Linked DNA regions of Lonchura striata. The protein of the gene in region 2 purifies or fractionates together with the protein of the main gene of each other region. This does not show direct contact. Links are inferred from orthologs where the notes say so. Each region holds a gene or a part of one and is shown on either strand. Other genes may lie near its edges. The genes, in order: V-type proton ATPase subunit S1, ATP6AP2, ATP6V1A and VMA22.

What was found.
Region 1: the proteins of ATP6AP2 (region 2) and V-type proton ATPase subunit S1 purify together in Homo sapiens (affinity purification with mass spectrometry; 5 studies listed by BioGRID and IntAct, counting the BioPlex papers as one, with this or other methods). This does not show direct contact. The link is inferred for Lonchura striata from reciprocal best matches to the Homo sapiens genes ATP6AP2 and ATP6AP1.
Region 3: the proteins of ATP6AP2 (region 2) and ATP6V1A purify together in Homo sapiens (co-immunoprecipitation; 3 studies listed by BioGRID and IntAct, with this or other methods). This does not show direct contact. The link is inferred for Lonchura striata from reciprocal best matches to the Homo sapiens genes ATP6AP2 and ATP6V1A.
Region 4: the proteins of ATP6AP2 (region 2) and VMA22 purify together in Homo sapiens (affinity purification with mass spectrometry; 3 studies listed by BioGRID and IntAct, counting the BioPlex papers as one, with this or other methods). This does not show direct contact. The link is inferred for Lonchura striata from reciprocal best matches to the Homo sapiens genes ATP6AP2 and VMA22.

Annotation. Positions count from the first base shown.
Region 1 is NC_134607.1:31,872,611-31,879,513, reverse strand, and holds the start of V-type proton ATPase subunit S1, read right to left. Parts: upstream 3,012-6,903; 5' UTR 2,949-3,011; coding exon 2,854-2,948; intron 1-2,853. UniProt on the Homo sapiens protein: Accessory subunit of the proton-transporting vacuolar (V)-ATPase protein pump, which is required for luminal acidification of secretory vesicles.
Region 2 is NC_134604.1:109,580,936-109,588,466, reverse strand, and holds the start of ATP6AP2 (renin receptor), read right to left. Parts: upstream 3,018-7,531; 5' UTR 3,007-3,017; coding exon 2,928-3,006; intron 250-2,927; coding exon 119-249; intron 1-118. UniProt on the Homo sapiens protein: Multifunctional protein which functions as a renin, prorenin cellular receptor and is involved in the assembly of the lysosomal proton-transporting V-type ATPase (V-ATPase) and the acidification of the endo-lysosomal system.
Region 3 is NC_134604.1:28,288,752-28,296,688, reverse strand, and holds the start of ATP6V1A (V-type proton ATPase catalytic subunit A), read right to left. Parts: upstream 3,012-7,937; 5' UTR 2,879-3,011; intron 1-2,878. UniProt on the Homo sapiens protein: Catalytic subunit of the V1 complex of vacuolar(H+)-ATPase (V-ATPase), a multisubunit enzyme composed of a peripheral complex (V1) that hydrolyzes ATP and a membrane integral complex (V0) that translocates protons.
Region 4 is NC_134638.1:870,055-877,548, reverse strand, and holds VMA22 (vacuolar ATPase assembly protein VMA22), read right to left. Parts: upstream 3,009-7,494; 5' UTR 2,976-3,008; coding exon 2,969-2,975; coding exon of another isoform or gene 2,960-2,968; intron 2,625-2,959; coding exon 2,524-2,624; intron 2,012-2,523; coding exon 1,908-2,011; intron 1,623-1,907; coding exon 1,531-1,622; intron 1,248-1,530; coding exon 1,119-1,247; intron 936-1,118; coding exon 757-935; 3' UTR 728-756; intron 649-727; 3' UTR 503-648; downstream 1-502. Other genes in the region: U3 small nucleolar ribonucleoprotein IMP4, read left to right, coding at 3,269-3,271, 3,633-3,741, 4,085-4,168, 4,671-4,780, 5,435-5,567, 6,154-6,308, 6,552-6,646, 6,730-6,800 and 1 more. UniProt on the Homo sapiens protein: Accessory component of the proton-transporting vacuolar (V)-ATPase protein pump involved in intracellular iron homeostasis.

The DNA.
Region 1 (6,903 bases), on a different chromosome or scaffold from region 2:
ACAAAGAATTCAATATTTCCTGTATCTGGAGCCACCAGGAGGGCTGATGGGAAGACAAGACTTCTAGCAGTCTAACTCATGATCTTATATATTTGCTTTGTAGCTGGCTTCAGACCTCTTTCCTACAAGTTATTCTTGTCAGTTCTTATTCTTGTCTATTCTTATTAAGTCTTCCCTAATAGTGACCTTGTGATTTCCATCTAAGAAATCATGTTTTCCCCATACTCAGGAGAAGTAAAATAGCATTCATGCTGGCACACAGTGTCTTCATAGGCATCCAATAAAATTATAGCTAAAAAAATTAATTTCCTTTCTATGTTACACCTTTTTTTCAGTAGATTTATCAGTAAAGTCCCTGTAGTTTAGGAAACAGTGCAAATGTACTAATTGGCATTAACACCTTCTCAAAGTCACTTATAACCTGGGTTTGCCAGAAAAGGATTATTTTCCCTATATAAGCATAGCATAAAAAAAGGAAGTAATATATTTTAAAAGACTGTAGGCAAAAATCATTCCTAAAACAAACACATGAGGGGGAAATCACAAAAGCTAATTTTAATTAATTTATTTGCTCAAACATCTCTTTATGTGTGGAGAGAAATAAATTCTTCAGAATATTAGTTCAAAATGGCTAAATCAAATTTGTTCTGTGTATCATATGCAAGAAGAGCCTCTCAGCTTTCCCTGCTTCAAAAACCCAACCAAGGAAAATTAGTTTAAAGACTGATGTAAAATAAAGGTCAAATTTTCCACACCAAAGTTATTTGAAGAACATCCAGTGATATATTCTTTTGTGAAAAACTGGACAGTGTGACATACTGAGTTATTCCCTAGTTGAATTGAGAAAGAATGCTGTTTTTTTAAAAAAACACTTTTCTCCAAGTAGGGATCTGCATTTTACTTTCTAGAGGAAAGAGGTATTTGATTTCCTAATGTCTCTGTGACAACTGATATCACACTTCCCATTGTGCACTGCATGTGTTTGTCAGCTGCAGGTTTCACTCTATCTGGCATTTAACATTATCTTTAATAGCATGAATATAGCATAGTAAAAATGCATAAAAGACTTTAAAGTGTTACATTCTCTAATACACCTGTCCTGAGATATGGCTTGGCAAACACTGGCTAGTTCTAAATTAGAACAAAATGTAGTATCCTTCAATTATTCAATTTCAAATCCTAACAGATAACCTGGGAAAGGGTGAAGGGATAGATCAGTGAATCACAACTTCTGTTGATTAATGAATCACTAAACGTTTATACTGGTGGGACATGTTCCTACAGAGTGAACAGATATCCATAGATATCCATAATTACTGCAATTCTGTAGTTAACTTTCCTAAGACTATTAATAATAATTTCCAAATTAGGCCTGTGGATGACACGCTGCAAACCTTGCATCACTGTGAAGTACCAAATGTAAAGCACAGAGTTAGGGGTTAGCAAGAGGAAGTTGTTGTAAGTGCTACTTTGTTTTATAAAATAACGAAAAACTTTTCACTTGCTTCACAGACCTTCCCCAGAACTAATTTTGGCCCCACAAGAACTTCTCCTTTCAAAATGCAAATGTCATGGTTGGAGGAACACTTCTTCCAGAAAAGGTTCTATTCTTGGAGACATGAAACTGTTTACTCAGTCTAGTATCCTGATTTTCTTGCTCTGGATTTGTATAAACCAGAAAAATCTGCAGTAGAAAAAGCTGCTAATTGCATCTTGATGGAAAGTTTGCTTTTATGACCACATGGAATTAAGTGATAAGATCTTGTTTATATATAAAGCAAGTATGTTTTTTATATAAACCAGGAAGTAGGACAAAGGCAGCACTGGTCTTTTCTTAGATGCTTAGAATCAATTTTAACATAAGAACAGTGCTTTCCAACATTTACTTTGCTTTTAAATGCTTTAAATGCTTTGCAGCGGTATTACACAAGGCTAATACACTCATATGAGTGCCTGTCTCACATAGTGGTGAATCACTAAGTATTTTGAATATAAAATTGCCTTGATGTTGAAACTTTTTTTTTTTTTCTTTTAGGGAGAGAAAATAAAGGAAAAGCTATAAAATCAAACTTTTTCAAAACATGGAGATTTCCATATGCAGAGTTTCAGGTTTTGAAAATCCATAAAAGATGAGTAAACATATAGCAAAGCTGGTTAATAAGTGGCCTATTTTTCTGACAACTTTACATATTGAATATCCCCCTGAAACTACTGCATTGCCCAACCTGCCATATTTCTGGAAATCCCAAGTAATGGTACAACATCCTTAAAGTGATAATGAATAAAATTCCTGGTTGGAAAGAAAGAGGTCTGTACCTGATACTTTCAAAGCTTCAAAGTCCTATTTCATACATATATGCAAACCCCTGAATTTCTCTGGATCTGTCAAGACTGCAGTTGTTGCTAACAACTGATGCACATACATACAGCAATCTACTTAAGAACCTGTATTTAAAAGAACATTAAAGTGAAAAGTCAGGGTTCAGAAGTTAGGAAATCCAAGGCTTAAAAAAACTGCCTTTTTTGGTCAGCTCCTTTTTGTGTCACCGCCTTATGTTGTGGCTTTAACTCACAACATCTCTAACAGTGGAATTCAAAGATGCTTTAGGGTTAATAAAGCACTTCTACTTCAGTTTAGTTTACAGAGTTTATTTACTTCTTTCTGCTGAGCTTAGAACACTGAAGTTATAAATAAAAATGGGTAAAAGAATATGTTGGCTTGTTTGATGGCCATGGCGCAAATAATTGTATTGCCCAGGGCTGATTTACCATATTCGATGGCACAATATATTCTGTGCAGGCGCGCCCAGAGCAGGAGCATAAGCAGGGATCCACTCTGATTCGATTTCTTACCTCTGAGTCGACCAAAGCAGCATCGGCACATGGTGCAGGGCCAGGGCGGCTGGGAGCAGCAGGGCGAGGGCGCGGAGCGGCAGGGCCGGAGCCATGGCCGGGCGGAGGGACCGCGCGGGCGGGAGCGCCGCGCTGCGCCGCGCCTGACGCTGCTCCCGGCAGCACGGCAATTGTCACTGCATCGACTTCCTTCCCCGGGGCTTGGGAGCGACTCTTGTTTTTAATGCTTGCACGTTTGTGATTTAAACAGCTCGTAAAGCACTCTGCTGTGGAAACATTGTCAGTTTCCTCTAACCTTCAAGTGCAAGGGAGAGCCATGAAGTCCAAACTCCTGTCCTATGCGGGCTGATAACAGTTATATAACTTCAAAATGGAGTTTACAGGAAACTTTTCTGTACTGCACAAACTATATTCTGCAGAACTTCTATCTTCGTCCCCTGCTATATATTATTATGTCCCTCAGCTTATTTTTTTCACATGTTTGAGATCTGGCGTCACACATTTGGGTGTTGACAGGTTTGAAATCTGCAACAAACTTGCAGATTTCAGCAAGAAGGAAGAGAGAGAGAAAATGGCACGTTCAGAGCCACTGAAACACAATTGTTAAGCTATCTTTTGCATGGAGCAATGCTGTCCCAGAAATCAAAAATATGTCACGTCAAGGGCAAATTATAATCACTTCAGAACGTGACACAACTTCAGTATTTCACAAGTCTCATGCAAGAACAAAATAGTCTTAGAGAATTCTTTCATGCCCGGAAGCAAATTGCTCTGGCACGCTTTTTTGTGCCTGCCAAACACTGAGCAGTTTCTACACCTTGTGACTACATAAGGCAGCAGCAGCCTCAGCACATGTTTGGCTCTGGGCACAAATGCCTCATCAGAACAGGAAGTTAGAGATCGTACACAAAAGAAGTTTTGAGCCATGTTAAAACAAGTTGTGTTAAGGGAAAAATAAGGAAGCACAATGAAAACTGTACAAGACGACACAGAGGTCAGAAGACATGTCTAAATCTGAGCACAGCCAGATTAGTTAAATCCATTTGCCTTGAATCACAGTATGTAGTTATAGTGCGGTTGCCTAATATAAGGCAATTTGTTCATCAAATCACCCTGAAATCTGATTTCTCAGAAAAAGAGTAATTTTAAGGGTAGCAATAAAACATTTTCATGTTCCTTTTCTTCTCCACGTTACCTTTACATAACAAAGAATTTAACTCTTTACTTTTTCCTCTTCTCGGAGATGTATTAGAAATCCTATCTGTTCCCTTTAACATGCCAGTGTTTGTCTGTTTGAGTGTGTACAGGTAAGACAGCAAACCTCAAAGACAGAAGTAGAAACAGAAGCACCTAGACAGAATAAAGGAATTGCAGAACTTCCAAAAAAACCTAATTTTGCAGAAGGACAATATTCGACACACTAACCAATTCGGAGACTGTTACAAAAGTGTCACCCTAGGCCCTACATCAGATGCACAAATATTTTGCAAGTCTGATCACATTCAGAAGAGACAGCTGGGTTCACAAATCCATGGTTTATTGAATGTAGTTTCTTTGGGATTGCTGGTGACAAAAGCAGCTGCTGCAAAATATATTGCATTAACAATATAACTACAATCACAAGTTTAATTTCCTGCATCAATACTCAGCATAACTGATGACCTAAGACTTACCAAAAGGCATCCTTTTTGTGGAGAACAAGAAAGTCAAGCCTGTCAGTATGTCCCTTAAAATTTTGTGTCAAATTCTCATCCTCCATTAAGATACAAAATTGAGATACATTTTATACCTTATTAACCACTATTGTGCAAAGCGCTGTTGGTGGGACTGTGGTCAAACCTTCCACTCTGTGCAGTTGCAATGTATGGAATATTTCCTGTAGGAGATGTTTGGTTTGTACAAAACATTTCTGGGCAACAAGTGGAACACAACCACATGGTCTCTACCCTCACTTCCCGTTCCTCCCCATGGCCGTAGCAGCACAAAGCACAGACTCCTCCTGGAGTACATCACATCCGGAGCTTTGCCTTCTCTTCACTGCTGTGAGCTTCCAACACACACAAGTGAGATGCACAGTTGGTGGGAATACCCTGTATTCTGCCTTACAGAAACAGTCTTAAAACTTTTTGAAACATAACCAGATTGTTTTCTCTCAGATTACCGTATCACTTATGAACAAACTTTTAACTGAAAACAAACTGACTCTTCCTTTTTAATATTTTGCCACAAACCACAGTTTGGGAACAACTGAAGTTATAAAAGCTTTGAAAAAAAAAAAAAAAAAAGGAGTAAGAAGAGCCTATTGAGTGGGATTTCAATTTGCTTCACTAAGTAAATTTAGCTCCAAAATATATCTGCATATATTTTCTCCTTTTTTCTTCACTCCTAAAAATGGTGGTTTTTTGGACACTGATTTGAAGGATGACATTAGTTAGAAGATGCTTATTTTGCATGCTTTGGAAAAGCATGTTCCAAATATTAGTCAAGCATTCAACTCACTATACTTCCAGAGCAATTTTTTAACTATTTACACAAAAGTGTCCACAATGTGACTAAAGGGCACTGCTAGGAAAGAACTCATGGTGGTGGTGAATGGAGTTCACATCGATCTGGCACACAGTCACCAGTGGTGCTCCCCAGGGCTCAGTACTGGGGCCAGTACTGATTCATGTCTTTACCAATGATCTGGATGAGAGATCTGTTGTTTAAGGGTGAAGAAAGAGATTGAGGTGCTGGACCATGTCCAGAGAAGGGCAGTGAAGCTAGTGAAGAATCTAGAGAGACAAGAGAAGATGGCCTCAAGTTGCACCAGAAGAGATTTATGTTGGATAATAGGAAAAAATTCTCCACTGAAAGGGTAGTGAAGCTGTGGAAGAAGCTGCCAGAGGAGTCATGGAGTCACCACACTTGGAGGTATTTAAAAGCTATGTAGATGTAGAAATTAGAGACAGAGTTTAATGGTGGACTTGGCAGTATCAGGTTAATAGTTGGACTTGATCTTAAAGGTCCTCACAACCTAAATGACTCTAGGGTTCCAGAAACCTCCAACACTGCATTGCACTGAAATCAATGGACTATTGGCTTTTCACATTTGTTTGAACTATTTCCTTACTTTTTATTTAAATAATCCTTCTGGACTTGTAAATTACCTTTTCAAAAATATGTTTAAGAAGGAAGGAAAAAATTATAAAGAGGCAGATTCCTATCTATGCAACTCATTGCTATTCAACCCATAATTTACTTCAAAACGCCTTTTATCACTCTGGGGGAAATTCAGACTTAGCAACCATTCCTATCTTAAGGCTCAGATGTCAGAAAGAATGTAAGTCATCAGCTGGAATGCTCATGTGCTGCAATTCTACAATTAGTTCAGTACTGAACTACAATCCAGAACTTAATTAAACTAAAATTCTGAATTTAATGGTAAAATCAGTGGAAAGATTCCAACAATGTTAAAATGCACTTATCAGCCAGGTACCAGTTCTACAGTTCATGTTCTGTTAAGGGAGTCAATTTAGTTTTCAGCTGTTTGCTGTCAAATATGTACTTATTTCTCTTTGTAAATGCTACTGCTTTTTCCTAGGTAGTTTCATCTGTTAGAGCAAAAGGCTGGGTTAAAGCCACATCTTAAAATAGAGGTTTCAAGAAGAACCTTGCAATCTTCTGTTGGATTTTTGAATTTACACCCTATCATGTTTTCTCTGTAACTATGATCTAATATAAACTTTCTTAATTATGGGGAGAATTTACTTCTTCAAATAATACAAACTCCTCAAAAATAAACATATTTCAAATATCTGAAATGCATATTTCAAATTATGATATTTAAATTATAATACTTACAATAATTTCAACATCCGATACAATAATTATATGCTGGCAGTTCCACTATGACCATCTAGATGAGCTACAAAATGTAAAGTTGTTCTTTTGACAAATGTTTGCAGGCAAAGCAGCTACATCTGGGTAAGCTATGTATATTCTATTGTTCTGTAAGAATCCAGGGTTTGAGGGGGTTTCTGCCTTATGTGTTTAAGATAAGAAAAATAA
Region 2 (7,531 bases):
TCCCCAAGACAAACAGGACAATGTTTTATATATTCCAGCACATGACAGGAAGATTTGCATCTTGAGTGAGCAGGTCTGCAGCTCTAGAGGCATTTCACAACCAAGACCTGGAACGTACTTCTTCAACAGAAAAGCCCATGGTCAGTGCAGCAACATCTGGGATCCGCTCGCCCGGGATCGGCCAACTTCCATCTCGGAAAATGACCGACTGAGGGGATCGCAAGACACTGAACTCGCCACCACAGACACCTAAAAACAGACATAAAAAGCTGTCAGAGCTCCTGCAAGCTCTTCCTTTACCTAAGGATCATATTTGACCTTTCATCCCTTCTTCCTCCCTCCCATGCCTATCAGTTTATGGAAAGCCAGGAATGAGAACGGCTCATTTGAATGCTCAGGAATACAAAATAAGGTTTCCATACAGCAATGACGAAGAATGAACAGATCCATATTAACAAAAGCAGGACAATTATTCAAACAACAGCAGAGCACAGTTCTGTGTAACAACTTACAAGCAGTCTCACAGTTCAGACCTGGTAAAGTGAACTCTCCATGGAGCCAGGCAGACTCCAAAATCCTGTTAAGCCCACAAAGCACCAACACAGCTCTGTTTGCTTCCACAACTGCTTGGCACAACACCTCTGCTCATGCAGGCAACAGCCAGAGTCACTGAGCCCAAAGCCAGGAAGTCCAGTGGAATTTGTCAGTGCTGGCTTAAACCAGGTAGTGCCAAGATAACCTGGCTCCTGCAGAACAGCTCTGGTGTCCCTCCTCTACATCCTCCACCTCATGACACCGTGAGATGTTTGTCTTCCCTGGATGCAGCACTGGACCTGAGCTGATTGTGAGGAGCCACAACCTACAACACTGGGTTTCCACTCCTCTAGGATGCCCCTTCACTCTCTTCCCCATTACCTTGCACAGCAAAGTTCACTAAAAGCATATTTCTAAACTGTTCTATGATAACAGCAATTTACTGCATCATAAAGTCAGAAAGGACTCCACAGAAATAAGATAAGGGCTTGTTCCAACCTGGCTTCCTATCTTAAAGTCACTTAGGCATGGCTGCAATACACCAAAATTTATCTAAATAAATTTTGAAACTTCTTTGGTGTATATAAGCAGTAACATGCACCATGCACAAAATTTCAGGCATATGCTCCCCAGTCAGCAATTTGAGTAGGTTGCCACCAGAAAACTGATTTGATACAAGAAAATCGAGCAATAGAGTAATAACTATTTGCAGGCCTGTATGTTCAAGTACAATGAATCTGACTGCATACCTCAAAATTACATGACTAAGATAACTGTCTAAAGGAAAGAGAAGTATTTATTCATATGATCACTGAAAATTGGTTACCAATCCAAGCAGTGATATAAAAGTTTTCCAGGGCATCTACAAATCTAAAGGCTATTTACAAAAACAATGCAACAGTAAACTGATGTGTTGTACAGCTAAAAACTTCCCTAATATTAAATTAACTAATGTGACCTTGAAGATGCTGTTCCAAAGCCTGGCTCATGCATATAAATGTTGACAGTAAATCTGAGCTATGTTATGATAAACACACCAAAGGACAAAGTTCTGAGATGCAGGCTGCAAAGGGGGGCAAAAGGAAGGAAAGAGGACAAACCGAGTGATATTCATGGAGTAGATTCAAGAATTTATTTAAATTTATGTGTTCCTTGGGTGCCTGCTACCAATTTTAATGGTGGCTCAACCCACATTTTGAAGGGCAGGAATGTTTCCAGACCAATTTCTTTAAGTAAGAATTTACAAAATGGCTACAAATCCATAGGATTTCACATGCTGCTCTCCACAAGGCTGCTACAGTCACATTACTTAGGGCAAACTAGCTTACCTAGGACAATATTGCTCAGGTGGATAAAATCAGAGCATTAACCCTTCACAACTGAATTTCCCTCACTAGACTTGTTTCAAGATTACAACTATTAAAACTAAATTTGTAATTGGGAACACCAGCAGATTCCCTCCAATTGTCTATGGAATAGCAAACCTAATTCCTACACTGCCAAAGCTGTACCTCAGGTTCTCAAAAGCCTTTATGAACCTGGAAGGCTAAAGAACATTGAGTAGGAAATATTTACAGGGCCTGGAAGTGCCATCACGAGCTTGACTCAGAGGGGGTAACAGTGACCACAGAAACACCTCAGCAAAACGTGAAAATTCATATAAAATAACAAAATCATGTGTGTCTATCACAGAACCATCAGAGTTGGAAGAGACTTATAAGACTATGGAGTCCAACTATCAACCCAGTAGTGCCAGGTCCAGATGCCTCTTCAACACCTCCAGGGATGGTGACCCCATCACCTCCCTGGCCAACCTATTCCAATGCCTCACTCTGGCAGGGAAAAAGTGTTTCTGGTCTCTGATCTGAATCCCTCTGTCTCAGCTTACAGAATTGGATTTTCATGTAATTTGTACACCTTATAAATTAATTTAATTAAGTAACACACTACATATAATTATACATATGCATTATAAAAATACACTAAATACTGTCAAAACTTATGTAATAATTTAGTGTCATAATTACAAAATTAATTTTATATAACGAATTTACACAATAAAATCATAGAAACGTATAATTTAGTATAAAGCAGCCCTTGTATTGAAAGGGACCGGATAAAAGGGTTCGAGCACCGTCTCTGGAGGTGGATGGGGGTGGGGCAGGGAGCTGCAGCACAGTGACAGCCCCTCACTGGCACCCCTCGGTCCCGAACCTGGCACCCACAGACACAGAGAGCCCCCTCAGCGCCACCCCTCGGTCCTGAACCTGGCACCCACAGAGAGCCCCCCTCACCCTTCCCCTCACCTTTCCCTCCCCAGCACCGCGGCCCGGCCGCTTTCCCGCAATCTCCCCCTGCAGACAGCCCTCCCCGGCCCGTCCCCGCTCACCCACCGGCGACCCAGGCCGCTGCCAGCAGCGCCGCCAGCCGCAGGCCCCGGCCGGCCCCGCCGCGCCGCCCCATGACCGCCATCAGCCGCCGCCGCCGCGCCGCCGACAGCACCCCGCCCGCCGCCTGACGGACAGCCACAACAGCCAATCGTCGAGCGGGATGCACGATGAGTGGGCGGGACTCGGCAGAGCGGACCAATCGCCGGAGCGGAGCAGTCAGCTGTCCAGCTGAGGGCGGAGTCTCTGTTTGAGTGGCGTTCTCGCTTGGCCAATCAGATTGCCAGAGGTCCTGCACCATTTTCCTCCCCGCGCTGTAAACCCAGAGGCAGCGGTGAGGAGGCGGAGCCAAGTGTCAGCGTATTCAGCCAATCGGAGAGCGAGGAGTAGGGGTTGGCTCCGCCCACTCCGTAAGCCTGACAGCGAGGGGCGGGGCAACGCTGTGACTGACAGTCGAGTGCACCAATCAGAGAGCGAGGGCGGCTGTGACGGGACCGTGGGCCGTGAGGGGCTCCTCCTGTTCCTGGGGTTGTCCTCGTCCTTCCCCTTGTGTAAAACGCCAGTCACTTGGCTTTTAAAATTTTTAATCGTTTAATAATAATGAAATGGTTCTAAAAATAGTAATACAATTAATGTAATTAAATTTAGAGTTAGGACAGTTACAAGACAATAAAAAGCAAAGAATTACGGATGTCCGGATGCTCTTGGACACTAAGTCACGAAAAGGATCCCTTGTGAGCAAAGGAGTAACCTTAAAAGCAATAGCCTGCTGCATATATCTCATGCATGATACATAAATTCCTTGCAAATTAAGAACTTTTCTGGTTTTTGTCAACTTCTTCTTAATCCTGTTGGTTCCACAAAGACGGAGAGAAGGTGGAGGAACATTTGTCTTTTCTGATAAGGAGGCTGTAACTTTTTATGGGCCCCCTTCGCTGATATCTCTGTGAAGAGTTTCTTGATTATCTCATCTTCCTGCTTGAGCTTGTAACAAATACTATATCGCAGAGTTTCTATTTTAACATTATGTTGTAACTTAAAACTACATTTAACACACTACTTACAAGAATTAATACAGCATAACTTTCTAACATTACACATATAATATTCATTGTAATATTTGCAAAAAGCCAATCATAAAATGTGCATTTTTCACACCCTTGTCTATGCCCCCACCATCAGTGGTTTCTTCCTTAAATTTTGCAGAGAAAGAATATCCACAAATTCAGTGACTGCCCCAGCCATGCTCATCTCACTTCTGGTGTGTGATAGAACAGGCAGGTGGGGCACTGTGGTTAGTGTATGTTTAATATTCCTGTAATATGGGTATTCCTGTAATATGCCATGATCATCACAATCAAGGGAGGAGGTCCTGCTCCTCAGCCCTGTGAGGATCACCTGGAGTGCTGTGCCCAGCTCTGGGCTCCTCAGGACAGGACAGACTCGGAGCTGGAGCGGGTCCAGTGGAGGGTGACAAAGATGATGGAGGGACTGGAGCGTCCCAGTGAGGAAAGGCTGAGGGAGCTGGGCCTGTCCAGCCTCGAGAAGAGAGGGCAGAGAGGGGCCTCATCCCTGTCTGCCAGTGTCTGCAGGGAGGGTCAGGGGATGGACCAGGCTCTGCTCCGTGGGGTGGTGGGACAAGAGGCAACAGGCAGATTGATGCACAAAGTTCCGCCTGAACGTGAGGAAGAATTTCTCTCCTGTGCAGTGACTGAGCACTGAACTGATTGTCCAGAGAAGGCATGGAGTCTCCCTCACTGGAGATACTCCAGACACATCTGGACACAGTCCTGGGGGCCATGTGCTGTGGGATGGCCCCTCTTGACCAGAGAGGTTGGACCAAATGACCCATAGTGGTCCCTTCCAGCCTGACCCATTCTGTGATTCTGTGAAGTTCTGAGTATGCCTTGGGGTCTTTGTACATTTTTAGGCTCCAGGATTTTGATTAAGCTCTCTGCAAGTAAAGGCAGACAAAACCAGGCTTTGAGGGTGAATTACCATGTAGGAGGTTAAGGCCTCCCAGTGCATTGGAAGTAAAACTGTGTTATGAGCACTTCAAATTAATACTCACTCGTTCCTTACTCTGTATCATGCATCACAAAGCCAGAAGCACATAACAGCTTTTGTGAAATAAATGGAAATAAATGCTTGATATTATCTGATTCACAATAGTTGTTTTCTGGTGGGCTTTTTTGTCCTGGATTCCTTGGGAAGCATTGTGTATGAGTTTACACTAAATGCAGAAGTGCTAGGGAATGTTTTATCTGCTTTGCTGGGAGACAGCACCTATGCCACATCCACGTGGTAAGACAGTATTTATGCGCAGAACATGCCAAGGATTACTACCCATACAACTATTTGGGCAGAGGTATCCTTCTGTGTTTTTAGAAATTCCAGCCAACTATAGAAACACTTTGAAAATGTGCCTGAGCAATATTTCTTCACTGGGAAAAAAAAAAGTTGTCTAGAAGAATGAGTGAGTGGGCACAGGAATGCAGGTAGTAAAATGAAAGTGTGTTTACAGCAAACAGTATTTAAGAAAGTAAAGTTATATCCTTGTCACTACCACATGTTAGTATGTGACAATTGGCTAATCATTTAAACTCAGCTTTTCATAGGTGGCAATAACAATTCCTCCCTTGTCTTTGAGTTGTTTTGCATAAATTAGGAGGAGCTCCTGCTCATCCTGCTGCCAGATAGAAACTACATTTTGAATATGAAAATCATGCCAGATGCATAGGGTACTCTAAAACTCAGCAGCCGAGCAAGTTATGAGCACTTCAAATTAATACCCACTCATTTCTTACTCTGTATTGTGTGCCACAAAACCTGCACTGTATAATAGCTTTTGTGAAATAAATGCAAAAAAAGGTTTGTGAGATTACCTGAATACTGTGGCAAAGATATGATCAAAATAGTTGTTTCCTGATGGGCTTTTCTGCTTTCAGAGCAGGATTAGAAAAACACATGGGAGAGAAGGCCTGGATCAGTGAACAACAAAGATATTGAATGATTGCTTTTCAGTGAGCCCAGCTGGTTTGTGCAGTGAGCAAGGCATGATGATTTTGAAATTCTGTATTGTGAACTGATAATGCTGCCACAACAGGTAAGCCCATGGATTAAAGTTCTGTGGGTTACCTTATTTTTGGCATTTGCTGTCCCTTGGGCACTTGGCTTTGCAAGTGTAGTGTGCCATTTACTGCATATGTTTTAGCATAATTTCACAAATTTTTGCCTGTCTAGGAAAACATGGTTCCTGCACCTTGTAGTCTGAAGTACAGATGAACTGCAGGTATGCTTACCTTATCCTCCCTTCAGATTGTGTATACACCCAAAAGGTGCATAGAAATAAGGCAAGAAGAGTGACCCAAAGCAGTAAGTTTCTGAAACTACTAGAGGGCATTGGGTGGGTGTGGTTCTGTCTTAGATGAAAACGTAGTGGGAACCAAAGAACAGGAAAAGGATCCTATGAGGGAACAAGTTTCTTCATCTAAACTAAGGATTTCTTACAAATGTGATGTGGAAAAAAAGGTACCAGAGTGAATAAGACTGTTTTGAGAAAGTTATTTCTCTTATAACTGTTACTATCTCTATGTTTCTTATCTGTGCATGTTAGCAATAATTTCAATTTTTAAAACTAATTTCTTGGCACTCTTTTGCATAAAGCATTCACTCTGAAAGTCATACAACAACAAAAGAGTATAATGTTATTTTTTTCACAGTTGCAGAAGGAATTGTATTTTTGAGACTTTAGCTTTCACATTCTCATTTTCTTTTTCTGAACTTGTGGTGCTAGGAATACTATAATGTAATTCTAGAAATAGAAGAGAAATCAGAGTTCTGTATTTGAAGAGTCTTATATTCCTTCTCTGCTTCTCAAATTGCTGTTCTTGAAATCACAGTGCAAACATGGTTTCTGAATTCTCCATCTTATGTTTTCCTGTTCTCATCTTGGTTTCTTCTTTGGGAAAAATAATAAATAGAAGCAATAAATTTTATTATGAAACAGTCAAGTCTCACAAACTCTGTACTGGTTTCTAGTGCCCACTGGGTATATCTGTGTGTCAGTGAAGCCCAATATAAGAGAATAATACCATCACTTTGTAGGCTGGCACAGTTCTAGCTATTTTCTCTAGGCTTAATTTAGATCCCAGCTGTGCTTTGAAGAGAGTGAGTTTTGTAATCCTGTAAGCAATACTTGTGACAAAAATCTACATGCAGTAAAATTATTCTATTTAAACTGATTTCATTTTGAGCTTCTGCTCAGGGCAAGTGAAAAAATGAGACAACATGCACATTAGGTCAGAAATAATTTTTATAAAGCCATATAGTGCTAGTAGCAGTCACAAAATCAACGTGCCAGCTGTAGGCAAAATACCAGCATTCCCTGGCTGTTTTAGGAGTGTGCTGTGCAGAAATGTCTTCAGCAGGAATTGCTCACGTGGCACTTGGATGCTGCCTTTGCCTCCAGCCCTGTCTGTACCAACAGCGTTATGGGTGAAATGATGGTAGAAGAGGGAATATGAGGAAAAGGCTGAGTCAAAGAGCCCACCATTGGTCTAAACTGGACTGCTGTGTTCATTGTGTTACTACTAAACCCAGGCTGGTTG
Region 3 (7,937 bases), about 81 Mb from region 2:
TTGAACTTGAGAGCTTGACAGACACAGAAGAAATAAATGCTTGGATGAAATAAAGTAACCAACCAAAAAATATTTATAAGTGCAGAACTTAATGCCATGAGAGATGACCAAACCCAAGAATTTGGTATAAGCTTAGCTGTCCACTCACAAAGGGAAAAGTGGAGAGAGAGCATCAAAGACAAGCAAAAAGCTTTTTATACCATAAAAGATACAACAATGACAAACAGAAGATCCAGTCAAAACCAGTTTTGCATGTTGGAGATTTAGGTGATTATTGGCTTATTCTGTAGGAAAAAAAAAAGGCTGAAAAGTTTAAATTCATTCTGCTTCTTCGGCTGGAGTAGGACCCTGTTTCTCTCTGCCCAGCTGGAAGGCTAAAGAAGTCACATGTTTTAAGATGTTCAGTAAAAATGAATGAGCATGATATTCCAGTTGACTGCATGGTCTGTTTTCATTGGCCAAATTCCAGCCTAAAAAAAAAAAATCATACGGATACCATTGTTCAACAATGCCTCAGTATTTCCAAGTCTGAAATCCCCTATTTTTTAACCTACAAAACAAGCATGGAGAAAAGAATATATTTCAGGCAATGTAGCATTGGGTTGCTGCATGGTTTGCATTTTGTAGGGTTTTCTTAAAAAGAGAAAAAAACAGAGGTATTACTACTTGCTCAGACGTAGCATTCAACATTTTATGGTCAACATTAAAGTAACCAAAGAGCTCAACGAGATTATCTTGCAATCCTTTTACTCTTTCTAAAAGAGTAATTAGGAATGCAGCCATAGCTCATAAACATGCAATTTCAAAGCAAGAGGGAAACCCATCAGTAGGAACTTTCAGGGCTTGAGAACCCAAAGACAACCATTATGGCATGAAATCACAAGGGGGAATGCACAGTGCCTCTAAAAGGATCTTCAGGGGAATCATCTGGTAACCTGCTGGTCTATAGGAGCTTTGGATGACAATGTGTAACACCAGCACCATGCAAGTCTGGGAGATAAATGCATGAAGTCATCCTGGGAAAAAAATTTAGATAACAGAAGGACACTTAAGGCCCACAGCCTTCATAAATGAGGGCAAATGAGGCATAAAACTGTTAATACACACTTAGACCAAAACAAAAGCTAAATTTAAGCTAATGCTCTATAAAAATGAAGCTACACTAACCACTCATGGCTCAACCCTATTAGCACTACCTGTAGAAAATAATTCTTGATTTGGAAAACCACAAGGCAGTATTTACGGGAAACAGAGATCTTGTGTTACTATTGCAACACAAGACTGCAACCCCCCTTTGAACAGTCAGCTGATGCCAGCAGCCATTTTCCACTGTTGCCTTAATTTGTCCTTCCCTGTTCTCTCAAGCTGATGTCCATGGTGATTTAGTACTTCTCAATGTCAGACTTTGCCACCTGATCATAAAATTAAGACTAATTTTTTCCCCACATGAAAGAATAAAGCTTTTCCAGAGGATTTTGCATTACAGACTGACAGGCACAGCAAAAATAATCTGCAGTACTTTTGGTAATTCAAAGACCTGTAGATTCTGATCTCACTTCACATATTCTTACATAGAAAATAATAAAACGTAGATATTGTTACATGTTTATATTTGCTGGTCATTGAAAAGGCCTTGAAAGCACAGAGAAGCCAAACATTCAGCTGCTGCAGATCTGCACAGTGCAGAAGTCAGTATAAATACAGCACAACTTACAACATAGTGAAGATCTGCCTCAGTTACTCAAACTTCCACTTGCAAATGCCAGCTTGTATTTCGCATGTTCTTCCTAATAAATCACTTCTAGCAGTCTATCAGCAGGTTTTCCTATTTTTCCACCCCCTCTCCACTTCAGCAAGCAGAATTAGCATTTAAAATACCGTGCTAGATCAAATAGCCAGTGTACTTTGCTGAAGTATTGCATTACAATGAATAAAATGATCACCAAATTGCTTTTATGCCCAGCAGAAGAGCAAATTCTATGAGAAAAGACAGTAAAATTTCAGGAAGGAAGACTTCACTTTCTCCTAAGAAAGTAAATTACTTTGGGCAGCTGCACGGAATGGATGGATCCTGACACAAGTGTCACATACTCCAATGTGACAGCTACCTGTCACATGAACAATATCATCCAGAATCCAGCTGTGTAAGATTTTTCTCTTGCCTTTAAGTGAATGCCAAGGGTGATGTCTGAAACACCTCATCTGAGGCAAAATTTTGTCACTGGCTACAGGAATAGGAAGCACATCTGATGTGCCACCAAGATATTCAACTGCAAAGCAACAACAGGGGGGTTCTTCTGCCACGGATGGCTGCAGGGAGAAGCCCGCAGCGGAATTCCTCTTCCATAACCGCGCTGCTCTCTCTCTGCTGCGCTGCGGTCAAGGCACCGAAAGATTCAGATCCACCCACTCAAGATGGTGGGATGACCTGGCGCTGGAACCCAGCCGCTATCGCCCTGTCTCTTTTCGGTAAGGGATTCTGGCATAACCCTAAAGCATCTCACTGGGTGTCTTCGATCGAGCGCTCGGACGGTTTTTCCTTGAGGGGCTGCCTCGCTCTGCAGCTCTGCGCTCCCTGCGAAGCGGGGCCGGGAAGCGCACGGCCGGCTCCCTGCGGGCCGTGCCGCCGGGACACGGCTCCCTGCGGCCCGGCCGCCCCCCTCCCGGCTCCCGCCGCTCCGCAGCGCCGGGGCCGCGCTCCCCCTGCGAGCGGCTCCGCAGGGAGACCGCGTCCTTCCCGGGCAGGGTGCGAGCGGGGCGGAGAGCGGCGACAGCCGACCCCCCGCTCCTTTACCGCAGAGAAGGGCAGCCCCGGGCGCAGCTCGGGAGCGGCGGAGGCAGCGGTGCGAGGCAGGGGGAGAGGGGTCGGGCGTCTCACCTGGGCCGGCCCGGCGCGCCCGAATCCGCCCGAGTCCCTCCGCCGGCGGCAAAGGAGGCGCTGGATCAGCTGACGCCGGGCCCCGCGCGCATGCGCTGCGCCGCACACCGGAAGCGCCGGGCGCGAGCCCTGCCCGACTCCGGGCGGAGCTTCGCCCGCCCTGCCGGGGCCGCTGCCGCGCAGGAGCGCGCCGGGCGCGGTGGGGCGCGCCGATTGGTGGTTCCGTGTCACGTGACAGCGAGCACGCCCCGTCCCCGAGACGAGCGGGGCCTCCCCATCCTCTCCCCGCCCCGCCGGGCGCGGCGCGTGCGCGGCGGGGGCGCGCGGGAGGGGCGGGGCGGTCATGGCGGGCGGGGCGGGGACGCGCGCGCGGCGTGAGGTGAGGGGTCACGGGGCGGGGCGGGGCGGGAGGAGGCCCATGTGGAGCGGGAGCGGGATTGGGATCGGGAGGAGACTGAGCTGCCCGCGCTGAGCACGGGGAGGCCGGAGCCACACCCGCACCGCCGGGCCCTGGACGCAGCCAGCGCGGACGCCGGGCAGGCCGCGGACGCACCATGAAGGGGTGAGTGCGGGGCTCGGCCCGGGCCGGGCCCGCCCGGGAGGGGAGCTGGGAGCGGGGCGGGCCCGGGCGGCGCGGCGGGCGGAGAGGGCCGAGCGGTGCAGCCGCCTCGGAGCTCGGGGGGGTGTTGCTGCGTCCCTCCCGCCCTCTGGGACAGGGCCCGTGGCCCGGCGTCCCTCCGGGGAGAAAAGGCGGCGGTGTCGCCGCTGGCGCCCTTTGGGCTGAGCAGGAGCCGCCCGTCAGGATGGTGCCGCCGCCGGAGCGAGGATTCTCCGCGCTGAGCCCGCGCTGGAGCGGGCGGGACGCGGCGGCTCCTCGTGCTCGGGGGGATCCCGCCCTGCGGGGTCTGGGATCTGCAGAGCGGGCGGGGATGCTGGCCGGGCTGTCCTCCCTGGCTGCTCCTTGTCTGGCGGTAGCAAAGAAGCGCCGCTCACTGTGTGCGAAAAAGCTGACAGCCTCGGGTGTGTGTGGTTTTGCAGCGCTATTGTGTGTAACATCCTCTTAGCACTTTTGTTGGTTTTTTAAGTCTTGAATTGCTGCGTGGAGGTTGTAGAGCGTAGATGGATGACAAACGAGCTGTGTCCTGTGTCATGTTCCTGTAGCACACCCGCTGCTTTGGGTCTGGCATCGCTTCTTTCTGTCTCCTGAAAACTAGAGATTTCAAATCTGGGTGGCTGAAAATACTGATTTCCTTCTCAGTGGGGGCAGTGAGGTGCCGTTTCTGTACAGGAGACCGGAGGCCTTTACACTCACAGTTGTGCTTTGGTGTCAGATGACCTGCCTGACCTTGTCCAGGTCACTTTGGGACAGGTTTTTCAATGTTGGCTAAGCCACCTAATGTTTATTAATTTCAGCATCATTTGTGCACCACAAAACGTGCTTGTTCCAGTTCTGTGCCTCAGTTTCTTCACAGGCACAAAGGAAGCTGTCCTCAGCTGATTCTCAAAAGAGCATTAAACCGTCCCCTTGGAACTGGTGTTATGCAATGATGGGTATTATTATTCCAGTTTGGCAGCTTAAGGCAGGGTGAATGGAAGCTGAATCACTTAAGCTTTTACTAAGAAATGGTAAGGGGTTTAGCTTATTAGCAGTAGGGGTGAGGTCATACAAGTCTGCTTGATAACAGACTCTTGGCTGGTTTTTACAGCGTGTAAGCAGCTTCAGGCATCCTGAGGGGCTGGCAGGTGTCTGTAGAAAGAGGTTCAGGGATGACTGCAAATAAACAAACTCTCAGCTGACATAAGATAGGTGTGTTTGGGATATTGGACAAACCTTTATCCACCTGCACCACCCTACATAAAAAGGGACACCCCCACTCTTAGTCCCCTTGTAATGAGGACGCCGGAGTTTGCGGGAAGAGCAGCAGCACGGATCAGCCAGGATGAGGTGGCAGTTGATGCGATCGTTGTTCAGCAGCGCTCCCGACAGAACTGGGTTTCCTTTTATCCTTTGTTGACCGTTCTGCTGTTTGCTAACAGCTTAGCCTTGCTTTGCTCGTGTGTCAGTGATGGGATGGGGTTACTGGGACCTGGATGTGTGAGTGGGAAAGCGGCCCAGGCGTGCCAGGCTGGTGCTGTGGGGATCTCCTAGCAGGGCATGGCTGGAGCTGTCTGTCGTGCTCAGTGCTCCCTGAGGAACTGAGCCTGGTTTTGCTTGCACTGATCAGGAGTTCTCATTTCATGGACTTTTTTACTTCTTGTAACTTTTTTTTTTTTTTTTTTAAATAAAAGGCTATGGAGAAAAAACCTGCATACCACTCTTCTGCTTCCAGAGCACCCAACTTTATTTCTGTCACTTTACTTTTACTTACAGACAGCTTTGTTTCTGGTTCAACTTTAGGGCTTATTGCTTTGGGTTCTGTACTTGGTATTTCTGCTTATGGTACTCTTTCATCTCTTTGAAGAACAGCATATTCCTGTCTTGCCAAAACACTGTTAGCACCACACAGAAAGTTCTGGTGCAGAATAAATTCATATTCCTGTGCAGATCCTCATATTGAATCCAGGTGTTCTCTAAAAATTCAGATGGAGGCAAATATGCCGACAGAGCTCAGATTGAAAAATATCCCCATTTAAATACAATGAGAATCAAAGAAGTAGAGAATAGTTCAAAAGGAATGTATAAATTACACAGGGGTACTTTGGAAAAGATCTAAATTGTTTTTTAAGTTACAAGGATCGGTGAAGATCCCTAAAGTACAAGTACTGTCAAAGGATGGGTCCAAAAATAGATCTAAAGCTCCAGCTCCCAGCATATAGAAACTGATGTGCTTGAAGGGATCTGGTCTGTCTTCAGTACTGAATCCAAAATTGTGGACAAGTCCCTCTGAACAAACTGATGCCCTGTGACTGTTTTTTCTGGGAATATATGCACTGCATTGTTACCCACACCACCAAATGCAGAGGTGATTTTGGAAGCACTTAGAGCAGCTGATGTTTTATCAGCTGTCATTATGAAGAGTCTACTTTGGCAAAGAATTAAAAAAAGAAACTATCTGATTCATTGGCATGAAATTTCAGATCTGAAAGACCCTGTAGTCAATGTATGTGTCTTGCAGCCTTCTTTCTTAGCTCTCTGAATTCAAAATAGCACATAGATGTGTGTTAATAGTGCATAGCAGGTTGTAGGGTCTGTGTCATCAGGGTATTTCAGGTTAGGTGACCTCTTCTACCCTGGCCCTCTGGTTTCAGAAATAGCAGAAGATTTTTGTGATTTCTCAGCTGCTTACAATTTTGTGGATTTTCTCTTATTTGATGAGTTAAACACCATCTTCTCAACTGGGAACTGCTATTAGCTTTCACCTGGTTTTGTGAGACTTGGCTTTATGTTCACTCTATCCTCACCTTCTGAATAATTTTAATAGAGTCTCATTATGTTTCCCTTTTTTTCTTAAATGTGACTTGAAAAACTGAGGTAATTCACTGTTCTGTTAGTGAATCTTGTGATTCTGTAGAGATTAATTTATTTTTTAATTTATTATATGTTATTGTTGTTAGTTCTTGAATTTGAAAATCTATTTTAGAACTGTGTTTGCATGAGGAAAAATACCAGTGGAAGAGACTCGGGTTCCACTGTCTGTAGTAATCTGGCTGTTTTTATATAGCAGATGTAAATAATCCTCCCTGCACTTTGTTGTATTCATGGTGTTGATTCACTTGTTGCTCAGTGGTTTTGTGTTTTCATTACCAGTTGTTATGCTACTGGTTTTCAGGAGAGAAAACTCAAAGTCTTGCACTGATTCTTGAGCATTTGCCGATTGCTGTTCATGACATTTGCTGTCTTAAAAGTAAGGGTGCATTTCTAATTTGTTTTAGTTCAGATGAAACCTATGAAAGTAAGGTATCCAGCCTTTCCCTGATGGCCTTACCTAAAAATCACATTACACAAGGCTATTGCAGGACCTGCATGCTCCATTGCGTGCATGTACCTGCGGTGTGACCAGGATTGTCACATACATGGAGCCGGTAGGGCATGTTACAAGCAGGGCCCAGTGCCTGGGCTCCTGTGCATGTGCTGTTTTGTCACATTAACATCTCCAGTTTTGATATGAAACACCTGGGAGATTGTCATGCAGCAGCACATCTTGAGCCATGGGGTGGAGAACTGATTGAAGCAGGGACTAAGTAGAGCGCTGTGTGTTAAACCAGCCTTAGAAAGAAGTGTGCACTAAATTGGGTAGGACTCTCCTAGGAGATTGCCTCTCAACTTTGTCGTGTTTGCAGCTAAGTCTCAGGTTTTGTAGTTTCTAAGGGTCCTTATGACTTGCTGTGGAAGAGTCCTACAGGCTGTATTCTACACAACAGGTACTTGCTGCCTCCTAACCCTGAGACTTTGCAGGCTTGTGCTGCTCTGGCTGCCTTGCAGGAGAGACATCACAGCTGGGGAGTACTGAATAGAACAGAAAAATAACTATGTTGTTTCTGAAAGTGTGGGGAGTTGTTAAGGTAAGCTCTGATACCTCTGCTTGTTTTGCCTGGGTTCAAGGAGTAAACCTTTCAAGGTCCTGAAGATGATCATGTTTCTGAGGAGAACAGGGAGGGTTTTTTCTCTCCTGAGTTAGAATGACAGAGTTTGTGCAGAGCTGCTGAATTGTTTCCATTTGCTCGGCACAGTGCTAAGCTTAACATATATGGGAGGAAGTTCCAAGTTTATGAGAAAACTGCTGAATGGTCATATGCACTGGAGTCAGGACAAAAAAGGTAATTGAGCTTGAAAATCACTTTATTTTTAGGCTTTTTCTGAACCTAGAAATGTCCAAGTGTGAGCTAAAGTCTGCATTTATTTTCATGGACGGTAAATTTAGACCTTGCCTATATGCCAGCTTACAAATGGCTTAACAGCTTCTAAATGAGTTTATAAAAAAATCAGTTCAGTTTATTATAGGTACTTTAACCTGATTTATAACTCTGACCACTTTGAGTTTAATTCCATAACCAGATTAAGACATTCCACAAAGTAGGAAGGATTGGGAGGGTAAGAAGGTAGTAGAGGAGTTGTAAC
Region 4 (7,494 bases), on a different chromosome or scaffold from region 2:
TCCTGTGGTGGCAATGCCGTGGTTGGCATGTGACAGCGGTGACAGTGTTCCCTGTGGTGGCAATGACATGGCTGGCACGTGACAGCAGTGACAGTGCTCCCTATGGTGGCACCAACTCCTGTGGTGGCAATGCCGTGGTTGGCATGTGACAGCGGTGACAGCGGTGGCAGTGCTCCCTGTGGTGGCAATGTCATGGCTGGCATGTGACAGTGGTGGCAGTGCTCCCTGTGGTGGCAATGGCATGGCTGTATGTGACAGCGGTGACAATGTTCTCTATGGTAGTAATGCCATTGCTGGCATGTGACAGCGATGACAGTAGTGACAGTGCTCCCTGTGGTGGCACCAACTCCTATGGTGGCAATGCTGTGGCTGGCATGTGACAGCAGTGACAATGTTCCCTATGGTGGCAATGACATGACTGGCATGTGGCAGTGGTGACAAATGAGCCCATGGTGGCACTGGCACAGCTGGCACCTGACAGCAGTGACAAATGACCCTGTGGTGGCACCAGGGTGGCTTTATTGGAGGTGGGGACATGGGGGGACCCCTCTTAGTCACGTGAGGGGCTCGGTGTCACCTGCAGAGTCCTCAGTGTCACCCACAGGCAGGTGCTGCTGTCCTCTGTGTCCCTGGTGGCAGCTGTGTCACCTGTGAAGGGTCAGCACAGCCCCATGTCACCTGTGTCCCCATGGTGTCACCTGTGCTCCCGTGTGTCCCCGTGTGTCACCTGCAGATACGTCCTCGTTGTTCTCGGTGTCACGCAGTCACTGAGGTCACTGTGTCACCCTCGGTGTCCTTGCTGTCCCCAGGGGTTCCCGTGGGGCTCTGGCTGTCCCTGGCCAGGTGACGTTTCTGCCGCAGGAGTTGCCGGTACCGGGCGGCCGCAGCTTCCACGGTGGCCTGGAGCTCGGCCACCTCCACGGCCAGCGTCACCCCTGGGGACAGGGGGACATCGGGGGGACCAAGGAGGTCATGGGGGCTGTGACCTTTAGACCTCCCCAGTTTTGGGGACACCACAGATTTGGGGTGTTCCCCCAATTCTTGGGCCACTCTGGGTTTGGGGACCTTTGGTGCTTTCTGGGGATCCCCCAGTTCCCCCCAGTCCCCCCCATCCTCACCCCTCTGGAAGCTGCCCTGGGCCTGCCGCAGAGTGGGGGGCACCAGGACCCCAAACCAGCCCAGGGGGTCTGTGGGGGGCCGGCTGGGGACCCCCCCTTTCTCAGGGGCTCCCCGGCGCTGCCGCAGCCCTGGGGGAGAGACAAAGGTCAGAGGAACCCCCCACCAAAAACAACTGAGTAACCCCCACCAAACACCCACAGGACCCCTCAGAACTCCCCAGCACCCACAGGACCCCTCAGAACCGCACCCCCCCAGCACCCCAAATTCTCCCCCCAGCCCCCATGGGTGACATCCCCAGGACCTCCAATCTGTCCCCAGCACCCACTGGGGACCTGGGGACCCCAACACCCACAGGACCCCTCCCCAAGGGACCCCAGAACCCCCCCAGGGACCACCCAGCCCCCCTCTCACCGTCACCCCCCCCCTGCTGGGGGTCGGGGTCCTCGGGGTCCCCCCCTGTTCCTGGCACCTCCTCAAAGTGGGGGCGTCCCTCTGGGTCCTGCCTGGGGGTGACACAGTGGGGACAGTGTCACCACCGTGCCCTGGTGTCCCTTGGCCACCACAGGGACATCCCAAGCATCCCCAGTCACCCCCCACACTGGGGACATCAGTGTCACCCCTGTGTCACCTCCCCAAACTGGGGACACCCCAATGTCCTCATGTCCCTCCCTGTGTCTCTGTCCCCTCCCTGAATGTCCCCAATGTCCTCATATCCCTCCCTGTGTCCCTGCCACCCCCCACTGAGTGTCCCCCAATGTCCCAGTGTCCCTGTCCCCTCTGTCCCCCACCTGTGGCACACACGGACTCGGGGCACCATGGTGGCCCCATACTGCAGGGACGAGACGCGGTGACAGCCCAGGGAGTAACGGGCCTGAGCCAGGGACAGCCACCCCTGCGGGGACATCGGGGACATTGGGGACACAGCGGGGGGACATTCACCCCTGTGGGGTCATCGGGGACATTGGGGACACAGCGGGGGGACATTCACCCCTGTGGGGTCATCGGGGACGCTGGGGACACAGCGGGGGCACAGCCACCCCTGTGGGAACATCAGGGACATCGGGGTCACAGCAGGGGGACAGCCACCCCTTGAAGGGGACACAGGGACATGGCACTAGGGACAGTCACCCGGGGGGACACAGGTGCCACCCTGGCATGTCCCTTTGTGTCCCCACAGTGGGTGACATGTCCCCCACAGGATGTCCCAGGACGGGTGGTGTGTCCCCAGGCACGTCCCCACAGCAGGGAAGTGTCCCCAGCTGTGTCCCCATGGGGCTGGCACACCCCTGTGGCAGGTGGCACCTGCCCGGTGTGTCCCTGTGGCAGGTGGCACCTCCTCGCACGTGTCCCCACGAGGGGTGGCGTGTCCCCCTGTGTCCCTGCCGTGTTCCCGTGTCCCCTCACCTGCCGCAGGTGCTGCTCCAGCTGCTCCCGCCGCTGCTGCAGCAGCTCCAGCGCCTCCATCACCTCCAGCGCGGCCTCGTCCAGCGACAGCGACAGCGACCCTGCGGTTGTGGGGGGGGACACGGCTCAGGACCCCAACCAACACCCGGGGGGACACCTGCGGCTCCCCCAGACCCACCAGAACCGCTCCCCCCCGCCCGGGGACCGGCCCGGAGTCCCCGCGGTGCCACCCGCGTCCCGGGACCCCCCAGGCCCTCACAGACCCCACCAAAACTCCCCCAGGGCCCCGGAAACCCGCTCACAAAACCCTCGGGATCCCTGAGACCCCCCCCAAAACGTTCCCGGTCTCCTGGAGACCCCCAGAAAAGCCCCCGAGACCCCCACCGAACATCCCCGGGACCCCCAGAGATCCCCAAACCCCGCGGAGCCCCCAGACCTCCCTCACCGTCCATCGCCGCCCTCACCGCGGCCTCAGGCCTGGCCCCGCCTCGTCCAATCGCAGCCCGCCCCGACACTTCTCGACCAATCAGCGAGCGCAGCACGCCGGAGGGCGGGGCCTGCGTGAGGCCCGGCACAGCAGCGGGGTGAAGCCCACCCGGCCGCCATCTCGAGTGAGGGCGCGGCGTTTTCCGCCCCTTTCCGGCAGCACCGCGCGCTCCCATTGGACCAGCAGCGCTCGGCCAATGGGAAGCGGTGGTACTGGGAGGTGCCGGCGTGTGAGGAGCGGCGCGGAGCCATCGCGACCATGGTGAGGGGCGCGGGGTTGGGTCGGTGGTCCCGTGTCCCCCCATGTCCCCGCCTGTACCCCACCCTCATGGTGCCTCTGGCCTCCCTCCGTGTCTCCCATGCTCTCATTTCCATGCCCCTCACAACGAGCCCTCCCCCCTGCCCAGTGTCCCCATGTCCCCCCTCACGCGTCCCTCACTCCGTGTCCGCTGTCCCCTGATTCCCCCTGATGATGTCCCCGCTGTCCCCCGCTGTCCCCCATCCCTCGGCCCCTCGGCTCCCCCGCCGTGCCCCCCACCCTCTCATGTCCCCCTCACCGGGCCCGTCCCCGCACCCCGCCGGTGTCCCCGCCGGTGTCACCTCCGCCTGTCCCCGCGTGGCAGCTGCGGCGCCAGGCCCGGGAGCGCCGGGAGTACCTGCAGCGCCGGGCCAGGGAGCAGCAGCAGCAGCGGCAGCGGGAGCGCAGGGAGAGCCTGCGGCGGGCGCTCGACGGTACCGGGGCACGGGGAGGGGGAACAGAGGGGCTGGGAGGGGGGCAAAGGGACCGGGGAGAATTTGGGGGGCTTACAGGGGGCTGGGGGGGAGTTAAGAAGAGATCCCGGATGTGTGAAAAGGGGGCTGGGGGCGGCAGAGGAGATTTGGAGGAGGTGAGGAGAGTTTTGGGGGGATACAGAGGACTTTAAGGGGGTTGGGGGATGTTTGGGGTTGTTAAAGAGGAGCTAAGAGGGGACATGGGGGTGCTGCAGGCCCGGGGGGTTATGTGGGGCTGGGGTATTGGAATGGGGAGGGTTGGGGGTCCTGTCTGAGCCCCCCCGTTTCTCTCCCCCCTCCCCAGAGAATCGGCTGCTGCCCACGGAGCTGCGGCGCGAGGCGCTGGCCCTGCAGAAGGAGCTCGAGTTCGACTTCCAGGCACCGGGGGGTGAGAGGGACCCCGAAACTGGGGGAGAGGGACCCCCAAACTGGGGGAGAGGGACCCCCAAATCAGGATGGGAGGGTAGAGGGAGGGGACCCCCAAGTTGGAGGTGATTGGAATTTCCAAATGCAGGGGTGGGGGACAGGCAAGACCCTTGAATGGTGGTCTAGACCCCAAAGTGGGGAGAAGGGAATCTTGAGGCAGGAGGGAGGCAGCCCCAAAAAATACCTAAAAAAAGAGACTGATCTCATTTTTAGAAGTTTCCCCAAATTCCCTGTGGGTTTCTAAGTTTCCCACATAAGATTAAATTCACCGCAAAATGAGTGTGAGGTTGCACCAACACCCACAGTCTGGGCTGCACCCCAAATCTGAGCCTTCTTTTCCCAAAATGGCAATTAACCCCATGTCCCCCCAAAATCCCCCCGGAACCCCGACTCTGAACTGACCCCGATGACCCTGGGGTGGGTGTGGCTGCAGGGGGTGTGGCCTGACAAAGCCCCGCCCCCAGAGACAGGTGACAGCCAGGATGATGAGTACAGGTGGGCGGGGCTGGAGCCCCCCAAGGTGATGGTGACCACCTCCCGAGACCCCAGCGCCCGCCTGCGGCTCTTCGCCAAGGTGGGCATGGCCGGGTTTGGGTGTGGTCTGTGGTGGGTGGGGCTGGGTTTGGGTGGGGCTCTGTTGTGGGTGGAGCCAGGTTTGGGTGTGGTCTGGGGTGGGTGGGGCTCTGGGGTGGGTGGGGCCATATTTGGGTGTGGTCTGGGTGGGCGTGGTCATGTTTGGGTGTGGTCTGAGGTGGGTGGAGCTGGTTTTGGGTGTGGTCTGGGGTGGGTGGGGCCATGTTTGGGTGTGGTCTGGGGTGGGTGGGGCCATGTTTGGGTGTGGTCTCGGGTGGGTGGGGCCAGGTTTGGGTGTGGTCTCGGGTGGGTGGGGCCAGGTTTGGGGTCAGTGGGGCTTTGGGCTGAGTTTGGGTGTGGCTCTGAGGTGGGCCAGGGGATGGGTGTGTCATTGTCACCCTGTGCTAGGGTGACAGACTTGGGGACATGTGGGGGTGATCTGGGGGACATGGGGGAGGTGATGTGGGGGACACTGGGACGTGATTTGGGGGATACAGGGAGTAATGATTTGGGGGATTTGGGGGGTTATCTGGGGGACATGGGGGCAGTGATTTGGGGGACACATGGACGCTGTAATGGCACAAGCGGGGGGACGCTGGGTGAAGGGGTGACACGGGCAGGGCGTGGCTCAGTGTCCCCGTGTCCCCGTCCCCAGGAGCTGTGCCTGCTGCTGCCGGGGGCTCGCCGCATGAACCGGGGCCGTGCCGAGCTGGGCGCTCTGGTGGGCGCGTGCCGGGCCGCGGGGGTCACCGACCTGCTGGTGCTGCACGAGACCCGCGGGCGGCCCGGTCAGTGCCAGGCGGGGCTGCTGGAGGGGCTGGGGTCACCTTTTGGGGTCTCTGCTTGGAGGGGAGGGGCTGAGGGTGATGCCCTGGGAAGGCTGAGCTAGAGCAGAGCTAGACAAAATTAATTAATAAAGCAGGGATTTATTAAAAGGATCTCCGCAATGGATCCACCTTGGGCTGCACCCAAATGAACCAAAATGGTCACGAAATGGATAACCATTCACAGGGTCTTACACTTTTATTAGTTTTGGTCTATTTGTATATTTGAGCTAATTGTCCAATTTTAGCTTTAACCCATTAAGTCCCATCCTTCTTTTCCTCTCTCCAGCCCACATTGTTTATATTTTGGTACTGAGATTTGGATCATTGTCCTTGGTGCCCAGCTGGAGAAGGAATTGTTTTGTCTCCCTGCTCTGTGCAGAGAGCTCACCACCCCATAATACGCAGCCCAAACCCACACACTAAAGCAGCACAAAATGTGAAAAATAGAAAATCCAAAACCTGAGGTGTCAGGGGGGTGGGTGGGGCTAATCCCAAGGGGGTGTGGCCTGTTTTTGGGTGTGTCCTGACCAAGCCCCACACCCCCTAGACGGGCTGACCGTGTCCCACCTGCCCCACGGCCCCACTGCCCACTTCACCCTGAGCGGGGCCGTGCTGCGCCAGGAGGTTGGGGGGCTCGGGGGGGCCCCGCTGGCCGCCCCCCACCTGCTGCTGCTGCGCCTGGATTCCACCCTGGGAAAAAGGGTATGGTCGGGGGGGCGTGGGGAACGTGGGGGGGACAGGAGGGGACATGGGGGGCACACACCTGGGGGGATGGGAGGCATGGAGAATATGGGGAGGACATGGGGGACACACAGCTGGGGGATATGAGGGGATACAGAGGGGAATTTGGGGTACATGGGGGAGGAAATGGGGACACTGGGGAGGAGCACGGGAGGTCCCAGGGCTGGGGTGACCCTGTCCCCGTCCCTGTCCCCATCCCATTAGGTCGGGACCATCCTGAAGCACCTGTTCCCTGTTCCCCGTCCCGACAGCCGCCGCGTGGTGACCTTCGCCAACGAGGATGATGTCATTTTAGTGCGGTGGGTGACACGTGGGGACACGGGGACATGGACAGACCCCCCCCCCCCACCTCCGAGCCCCTCTGACCCCCCACTCCCCACAGGAACCACGTGTACCGGCGCCGGGGACGGACGGTGGAGCTGGAGGAGGTGGGACCCCGCTTCCAGCTGAGGCGTGAGTGTCCCCTGCTGTCCCCAACAGCCCTAAAAGTCCCCCTGGTGTCCCCAAATGTCCCAACAAACCCCCCTGTGTCCCCCCCCAGCCTACCTGATCCGCCTGGGCACCCTGGAGCAGGGGGACGCGGCCGACGTGGAGTGGCGCTGGCACCCATACACGGCCACGGCCCCCAAGCGCCGCCTGCTCAGCGCCACCTGAGCCCCCCAGCACCCCCCGACCACCGGGAGAGCCCCCCAGGTGGGGCCCACCTGCACACCTGAGACCACCTTGGCAGCTGGGACCCCTCTGGACTCCCCCAGGAACAGCCGGGTCTCTCACAATCACTTTTTATTTGTCATAATAAATGATTTTTTTTCTATATTGGGCTCGGTAAGGATCAGCCGGGTTCTGCTGCAGCCCCTCCTCTGTGGTGGGGAGGGGGCCCAGGGATCCGGACCCCCCCTCACACCCGGGACCACTCGGCTGGGGGGTCCCGCGGGCCCTTGGGCTTCCCAATGCGGAAGTTAAACCCTGGGGGGAGGAGCAGGAGGTCAGTAAGGGGTGGGCTGGACATTGATGCCCCCCCGAACCCCCAAACCCTTTCCAGACACCGAGACCCCCCCCAGGACACCAGGGACCTCCCCCCCATGCTCACCCAGGCAGGGGCCGCTGCCAGTGTCCGTGGGGGGGGTCACAACCTCATAGGCGCCAT